Linked DNA regions of Mus musculus. The protein of the gene in region 1 binds, or shares a complex with, the protein of each later gene. Links are inferred from orthologs where the notes say so. Each region holds a gene or a part of one and is shown on either strand. Other genes may lie near its edges.

Region 1 (4,537 bases):
CCTTGCTGTTCAAAAGCACATGACAATTGTAGATTTTCTGATTCTGCTCCCAGTCTTGGCCACGCTCGTGGAAACCGCCCAAGGACAGCCAGATTCCACATTCCCTGGGGGGGGGGGGGGACACGACACACACAACTCTACCCCCTCTGTGGCAATCCAGGAACACTGCTCAACAGGGAGTTCTACACACACAACCCCCCCCCCCCCAAACCCTACCCTTGTACCTGGCAAGCTGGCTATATTGGCCCAAAAGATCCCCATTCAGTGGTTCGGACAGGAGTAATGTCTCGGCAGGGTTTCGTGCAATAAAGTCAAATGCCTCAGGCAGAAAGGCCAGGCAAGCACCCAGTCTGGCAGCCTCTTGAACCAACTCAGCACATGTTTTAAAGTTCTCTTGCTTGTTTGGTGTTGATGTTACCTGGCACACAGCCACCAGGGGCAGCTCCCAGGAAGTTGATGAGGACATGGTTCTGGGCCTGTGAATGACACAGGCAGTATCCTCAGATTTTCTATCTAGGAGAAACTCAGAGGCTCAAGTGGGGGTGGAGCCAGAAACTTTATTTTCTTTTGACTTTTTTCTTTTTTGAGACACGGTCTTTTGTAGCCCAGACAGGCCTTTCTATGTAACTGGGGATGACCTTAAACTCCTGGTTGATCCTCCTTTTTTTCGAGTGCTGGCATTACAGGTGACCCCAGCAACTTGTTTTCATTCTTACAGAGCATAATAACCCTAGAGCTACTGGAGTTCACTCATTACATGTTTGGAGATATCTTTGTCTCCCACTATGAAGTTAATAAACACGAACTAAGCAGCTATGCGCCAGAGAGAGAACATTACGAAATATGTTACCTGGGCTGAGTACAAAGTACTGGGGTTCGAAGTAATCGGTATCCGGTACACAGGAGTTGGTGAGGAGGCCTGGTGATGAAGCCCAGCCTGAAGAAGGTGAGAAATCAGGACACCTAACCCTCTTTCAAGCCGTAAGTTTCTAGAATTCTCTGCCATTTCCAGGCCTGGCCAGTAATCCCCTCCCCCAAGGCTTCGAAAATACTTTTTACTACTAGTAGCTAGGAAAAGATATAAAATGGGAAAATGGGAGAGGCGACTATGATCGGTGCCTTAATACCTCAACTTCCAGTGATCTCACATTAAAACTGAAGCCCTTTTTCCTTTGCCAAACGTTTCCGCAGTTCAAGTCATCTCATGGAACCTTCCTCGTTTCCCCAATTCTCTTCTCGGCTGTGCCACCTGCACAGCTTTATAGACTCAACACGTATCTTTCCCCTTATACCCGAATCTCAGAAGGAAAGTTCACCCTCCCTAGATCTCCACCATCTCATGGTGGGTAGATGGGTACAGGACCAGATCCCAACCCGAGCCCCCGCCCTCTGATTAGCGCGTCCTTCCCCGCCTCTCCCCCCCGGGCAAGAATCTCTGTTGCACAAGTTAAAGCATCGCAGGTGGAATTCACCGCAGCGGGCAGGGTTTGGGAGTAGGTCCTACATGAAGACACAGCCAAAACCATTCACGGGGTCGGATCTCAAGAGCTGCCAGGAGCCAGGAGCGCAGGAGCAAGTGGGCGGTAACCCCCCGGCCGGATGTGACGCAGTGAGAGTGCGCAGGCCGGAAAGCTTGCAGGTGGGGAAGATGGCGGACAGCAGCGGTCGTGTGGGCAAGAGCGGCGGGAGCGGCGCGGGGAAGGGGGCGGTGTCGGCGGAACAGGTGAGGAGCCGCGAGCGCACAAGGCACCCGGGGCGGTGTCGAATTCGTGTAGAAGATAAGATTTGTGGCTCGAAGGGGCCTTTAGTCCTTTCCACGGTCTCCATGGGCACGCACGGGGGAGAGGGGGTCTCTGGAGGTGATCACGAACCTTTCTAGAGCCTGGGTAGGTAGGGGAGAGGCACGCCCGCGGTGTGGGTGGGTAGTCAAGGGAGAAAGCCCTGAGCTGCAGGGTCTGGGAGGGTTGGCCAGGTCTCTGAGAAGATGGATCGTAGTTTGCCCCCTCTCCGAGGTACCCTAAAGAGCGTATGGTGTTTGGCGTGGCATCTAGTAACGAATTCCAAGCTGTTCTTAGTCAGTGAGTGGCTTATGTAGTTCATGGCTCAAAAACCGTGTTCACCATCACCAACACGCTGCAGAGCCACGTGACTCAGACTCTGAGCAGTTTAGTGTTCCGTAAATTATTTTGACTAAGGAGTCTGTGGTTTGTTTGTTTGTTTGTTTTGTCTTGGAGGTGGGGATGAGGGTTGCTATAGGGTCGGGTCCGGCCTTGGCTTTTCCGGAATTCACTTTGTAGACCAAACTGGCCTGGAAGATCCGCTTGCCTCTGCCTCCCACATACTGCGATTAAAGGCTCGGATTATTTCGTCTTTGAGACACGGTCTTACTAAGTGGCCTACGCTGGCCTCGAGCTTGCTCGGTGTGCTCTCTTTGCAAAGATTGACTTCGGAAGAGGGCAGAACCCACCCCCCACCCCCTCTCTCTTTCTCTTTCTCTCTTTCTCTCTTTCTCTCTCTCTCTCTCTCTCTCTCTCTCTCTCTCTCTCTCTCTCTCTCTCTCTTTCTTTCTTTCTTTCTTTCTTTCTTTCTTTCTTTCTTTCTTTCTTTCTTTCATGTGTGAGTACACTGTAGCTGTCTTCAGACACTCCAGAAGATGGAGTCCGATCTCATTACGGATGGTTGTGAGCCACCATGTGGTTGCTGGGATTTGAACTTTGGAAGAGCAGTCGGTGCTCTTAACAGCTGAGCCATCTCACCAGCCCCAGAAGAGTAATTTTAATCATAGGTACATTTGTCAGTTGGTTGTTGAACAATTCCTACAGGTAAAAGCATCAGCATAAAGAGTCTAAAACCCACACTGTCAAAGAGTTAGAAAGTAAGTGTTCAGGGAGAACTGAAGTGCAGGGGAATTCTGGAGATGGAAGAGGGTGTAGCCTCTGACATAGTGGGAAGGAAAAAATGCTAATGCTTTGGAGAGTCCGTCTTGTGTTTGGCTTTGCTTAACCCAGAGGAACAGGTAAATGAAATAGACCTTGTCTTAAACTTGGTCACAGCCAAGTGTGGTGGCCCATACCCATAATCCCCCTGGATTACCCTGTCAGTTCCAGGCTAGCCTGGGTTACAGAGTAAAACACAGTCTCAAAAACAAAACAATGAGACTTTATGTGTGTTTGCATGTGTATGTGCATATACCACATGTGTGCAGGAGCCCTCAGAGACCAGAAGAGTGGTCAAAACCTCTGATAACTGCCTATTAGCTACCATGAGGGTGCTGAGAACCAAACCCAGGTCCTCCGCTATAAAAGTAATCGTTCTTCCACCGAGCCATTTCTCCAACCCTACACTACAAACTTCTGCACATAATGAACTTTTCTTGCACAGTTTGGAGAGAGAGTCCAAAGTAGTGTAGATTTCGGATGTGGCAGGTAAGTAGGCAAGGGAATGGCGGGTAGTGGAATGGTTGGGAGGGTTTCCTGGCCTAGAATCAGAATGACCTGTGCTTGCTTTGTATTTCTTATTTATATATGATTTCTCTTGTTACCTTTTACCCTCGTCTATCTGTAAAAGCACAGTAGTTTTCCATTTCGTAACTAGAGTACTAGGCAAGAAAATCCATTTGGGTTTTGTTTTGTTTTGTTTTTTTCCACCATGACTAAATACAGAGACTACATAGTGTGTTTAACAAATGCTACTTAGAGCTGGAGAGATGGCCTCTGCACTCGAGCACCTGATCTCGCACAGACAGACACACTTGCACGCACATAATCTGAACAGTCTTTCTAAATGCTAATTTCCTTTTATTTTCTAGATTTTTTGGCTTAATTCTAAAGGCTGGGAAAAGTTAGTCATGTGAAGATTTTTTTTCGTTAGAAGTAGTGTGTTCAAAAGCATTGAGCCATGAACTGCTTGGCATTGAAAATGCTGGAGAATTTAAAGAGATATATTGCAAGACCTAAAGAGATACAGTCAACTTTGTTCTTTGACACAGGGTTTTTCACGTGGCCTAGAACTCACCAGGTAGGCTAGGATGGCTGACCAGAGAGTCCATTGATCCTCCCTTTCCTCAGCACTGGGAAAACAAGCCTCAGAATTTAAGTTCACTAGCATTCCAGTGCCAGGCAGTTCATGCCTCAGTACCATGCCTGCCTGCCTGCCTGCCTTTTTTTTCCCTCCTCCTCCTCCTCCTCCTCCTCCTCTTCCTCCTCCTCTTCTTTTTTCTCCTCCTCCTCCTCCTCTTCCTTCTTAAAAAGTGTGTTCTGGGGCTCAAACCCTGGTTCTTTGGCTCTTTACCTGTGAAATTTTCTTCCCAGCCCAATTTAAGGTTTATTACTGATGTGTGTGTTAGCCTAGTGTGTCTCTCACAAGGAAAATAGGAGCAGGTAATACTTCGTACTAGGTGCTTGTTTTATTTTCTGTTCTTTATCATTTATTGGTTTACTATTGTTGTTTTGTCTGAGATAGGCTCTCCCTCTGGAACTTGCTGTGTAGACCGTGCTACTTTAGGCCTTGCTATTCTTGGCTTTGTGAGCCTGTGCAA
Region 2 (4,447 bases), about 120 Mb from region 1:
TTTCTGTAGCATTCCATATATAACTCTGAAAACAAAAACCAAGACGACCACCACTCACTTTTGCTTTCAGAAAAGATTTTTGTTCGATCTTCAAGAAAGAATATGTTGCTGTTCTGTTGCTGCTTGTATACTCTCTGCAAACGAAATTGACAAGATCAGGGTATGACATGCACACTGATGCTGAACAGGATCCTGTTATCATTTATTCTTGAACTTCAGGAATATTCAGAACAGTAATTACCACAGAGAAACAAAGCCACTGAATACTACGCCACCCAGAACTGGTTGTTTACTTAGCATGCATCATCATACCACACACTTTCAGTAACAAAAGCTATCATAGCCACAGATTTATAATTTACTTCATAAATGAATAATACATGGAGACCTTTTCTGACCATATGGGTACAACACTATAGTTCTTTGCTGGCCTCAAGCTTCAGACACTTACTGTATCGTCACTACAGGTGCTGATGAGCGCCTCTACGTGTAAACACACATGCACCCTCACAACTGCTTACACACCAGTTACTCAGAAGTGTCAAACAGCATTTACACATTTTGACAGTTTGATCTCCAAAAATTTGTATTAATTTGCCTTAGCATCTAATATATCCCAAATGACAATATCAGAAATGTCAAGAATGTCAGTCATTACATAATCGCAGCTGATTTCTGAACATATTCATAAAAAAGGCATTAAATGGGTTAAGTATTTAGAATAGTAAAGTTTTCTGTGAAAAACTTCATTCTTTTTTGTTAAAATATAATAAATATTTTTTTATCTTTGAGATCTATTGACATATACAGGAAAAACAAATTTAAAACATGCAAAAACAAACTAGGATACCACGTTAGCTTTTAAATTATGATCTTTGAATTTTGTAATGTTAGCATAAATAATCGAAATCATAATTTTAATATACTATTCAGATTTCCACAGCAACTCACCCGATTCTTCTTTAGATTAGAAAGTTCATCCACAATAATTTTCTGTTCTTTAATCTATTAAAGTAAAGAAAAAAATCTAAAGTGGAAGATTTCAAAGTATGTTTAGCGAGAACATTTTAAGTCACTGCTTTAAAACTAAAGATGGGGTTGGGGGCTATAATGGACTGCCTGTCTAAATGGACACTGAACAAATCAACAGCACTCAGTCTGGAATCAGTAGAAGACAGCTTGAGAAGGAGAAGCATAGGCTTGCCAGGGGTCAGTTACCACAGCTCACATCTTTAACCAGGGTGAGCCACTGCCTACCCAAATTAATACCAATCTTTTAAGCCAGGCAGTGGTGGCGCACGCCTTTAATCTCAGCACTTGAGAGGCAGAGGCAGGCAGATTTCTGAGTTCGAGGCCAGCCTGGTCTACAGACTGAGTTCTGTGACAGCCAGAGCTACACAGAGAAACCCTGTCTTGAAAAAAACAAAAAACAACCAAACAAAAGAACCAAAAACAAACAAAACCTCTCCCGAAAACAACAAAAACCCAATCTTTTAGTTTTATAAGGTCTTGCTGTAGACAAAAAGAGAGAAATAAAATGAATGTGGGTTCTCCTCTTTACCAACAACCAATGGTTTTATGATGTATGCACTAGATGACAGCCAGACATTCGGATAAAACAAATGAAATGGTACTATGGTACTGAATGCCCTACCTGCACTGATCCAACATGATTTTCCACCACTGTATCATTCTATTTCAAGTATTAAGGACTGCATATTGCTGGTATCGTTAAGCTAGGCAAATAGTCTATTAAGTCCTGAGAGCTGTACTAATAACCTACAAAGCCATATTGAGTACGCTTTCCTTGAGATTCAAGTCTGCTTGTACAGTGTTTTTATGCTCATTACAGGAATGACAGGTGTCACTTTAGGTGACACCACAGTACACTGTGGTACAGCGGGAATTAGGCAATGTACTGAAGATATCATATAGGACAGAAAAAATACAGAATTTAGGAATGTTTAATATCTGAAAAGACTATACCCACACCCTTCCACTCTACACGTTTAAAGATTTTCGTCTGTAACTGGAAGTTAGGACTAGTTCCGGTATGGGGTTGCCTCCCTGAAATCCTGGCTATTAGGCAAGAGAATTATTCAAGTAATGCCTAAGCAATAATATCTGAGGCTGGCCTGAGTTATTTATGAAATCCTATCCTAAAGGTATAGAAAAAAATTAATTTGATAGGGTGCTCCTTTCTCTTGTTGAATAATAAAGAGATGACCAAACAGATGTTTTTAGGATCACTTAAAGTTGAGAATATATTTTAAGGTAACAGGCAGCTGAGAAAATCGGCTAAGAAGCTTTTGCCTGAGTCTGGAAGAACAGGTACAGACTTCTAAACTTTTATGATGGACGTCATGGATGGCACCCAGGCGGGTGCGTGGCTAACTGGATGAAGCACAGCCACAGAGCAACAGATCTGTGTGTGACTGAGCAACACATCTGTGTGTCACTTTTTTTCAGGGGACACGCCTCCATCGTCGCAAACCTGCAGGATGGAGGGGAATCAGCTGCTGGTGCTGAGAATGCACGGCGGAGGCTACAGGGCACAGCGGGGCCCGCCGCCCACCACCCTTCCCCGGCGTCCCACGGCACCTTGCTGCTAAGGGACTCGGCGTGCGCAGTCGATGTGTGTGGGGGCCCCGGCGCGGCGCGGCCATCGGCGTGCACCCCACTGCTGGGCATCGCCTAGCCGCGCCGCACGCCAAGAACCGCGACTGAGGAAGGAACGGCAGCCAGCAGCCCCGGCAGGAAGCCTGGGTTCCACTCAGGAATCCGCCCCTTCCGGCACCCCGACCAATGGAGTGCGCACACTCACGCCTGCGCAGTGGCAAGCGCGCGCGGGGTGGGTTGTGAAAAGTCGAATTAAGAGTTGTGCTCCACTGCAAAATGGTTTTCTGCTAAATGTAGGTGTGGCTTGGCTGCAGAATCTATGAATGGTCTGTATCGCCCCCTAGTGGATCCTATGTAAAAATAAATCACTATAATTTAATACTCTTAAATTTGGTTTTCTTCTCCTCCTCCCCCTCCCCCTTCCTCCTCCTCCCCCTCCTTCTTCCTCTTCTTCTTTTTCTTCTCATCCCCTTCCCCCTCCTCTCCCCTCCCCTTCCTCTTCCTCCTCCTCCTTCTCTTCCTCTTCTTCTCGTCCCTTCCCTCCTCCCCCTCCTCCTCCTCCTTCTCCTCCTCCTCCTCCCCTCCCCTCCTCCTCTTCTTCTTCAGATTTACTTATTTTATGTATATGATGAGTTCACTGTCTCTGTCTTAAGACATACCAGATGCAGATCTCAGGTGCAGAGGATACCATAGAAAACATTGAAACAACAGTCAAGGAAAATGCAAATTGCAAAAAGCTCCTAACCCAAAATATCCAGGAAATCCAGGACACAATGACAAGACCAAATCTAAGGATAACAGGTATAGAAGAGAGTGAAGATTCCCAACTTAAATGGTCAGTAAATATCCTCAACAAAATTAAACAAGAAAACTTTCCTAACCTAAAGAATTTGATGCCCATGAACATACAAGAAGCCTACAGAACTCCAAATAAATTGGACCAGAAAAGAAATTCCTCCCATCACATAATAATCAAAATACCAAATGCACTAAACAAACAAACAAACAAAAGAATATTAAAAGCAGTAAGGAAAAAGGGTGAAGTAACATGCAAAGTCATACCTATCAGAATTACACCAGACTTCTCAGCAGAGACTATGAAAGCTGGAAGATCCTGGGCAGATGTCATACAGACCCTAAGAGACCACAAATAGCAGCCCTGACTACTATTACAGCAACACCCTCAATTACCATAGATGGAGAAACAAAGATATTCCATGGCAAAACAAAATGTACACAGTGTCTTTCCACAAATCTAGCTCTATAAAGGATAATAGATGGAAAACACCCACACAAGGAGGGAAACTGCACCCTAGAAAAAGCAAGAAAGTAATCTCCTTTCAACACACCCAAAAGAAGATAACCACACAAACATAAAAATAACATAAAAAATAATAGGAAGCAGCAATCACTATTCCTTAATTTCTCTTAACATCAATGGACTCAATCCCCCCAATAAAAAGACATAGACTAACAGACTGGATATGTAAACTGGGCCCAACATTTTGCTGCATATAGGAAACACACCTCAGTGTCAAAGACAAACACTATGTCAGAATAAAGGGCTGAGAATAATTTTCCAATCAAATGGTCCCAAGAAACAAATTGGAGTAGACATTCTAATATAGGATAAAATTGACTTTCAACCAAAAGTCATCAAAAAAGATAAGGAAGGACACTTCATACTCATCAAAGGAAATATCTACTAAGAAGAACCCTTAATTCTGAACATTTATGCTCCAAATGCAAGGGCACCCGCGTTCATAAAAGAAGCTTTACTAAGTTAAAAGCACACATTGCACCTCACACAATAATTGTGGGGGACTTT

What was found.
Region 2: Pfdn2 (region 1) and Asdurf share a complex: the UniProt entries of both Homo sapiens proteins name them as parts of the PAQosome complex. The link is inferred for Mus musculus from reciprocal best matches to the Homo sapiens genes PFDN2 and ASDURF.

Annotation. Positions count from the first base shown.
Region 1 is NC_000067.6:171,344,064-171,348,600, forward strand, and holds the start of Pfdn2 (prefoldin subunit 2), read left to right. Parts: upstream 1-1,611; 5' UTR 1,612-1,648; coding exon 1,649-1,723; intron 1,724-4,537. Other genes in the region: Nit1 (deaminated glutathione amidase), read right to left, coding at 1-104, 225-476, 851-937, 1,505-1,506. UniProt on the Homo sapiens protein: Binds specifically to cytosolic chaperonin (c-CPN) and transfers target proteins to it. Binds to nascent polypeptide chain and promotes folding in an environment in which there are many competing pathways for nonnative proteins.
Region 2 is NC_000067.6:53,349,929-53,354,375, forward strand, and holds the start of Asdurf (ASNSD1 upstream open reading frame protein), read right to left. Parts: upstream 2,825-4,447; 5' UTR 2,692-2,824; coding exon 2,602-2,691; intron 1,006-2,601; coding exon 952-1,005; intron 135-951; coding exon 59-134; intron 1-58.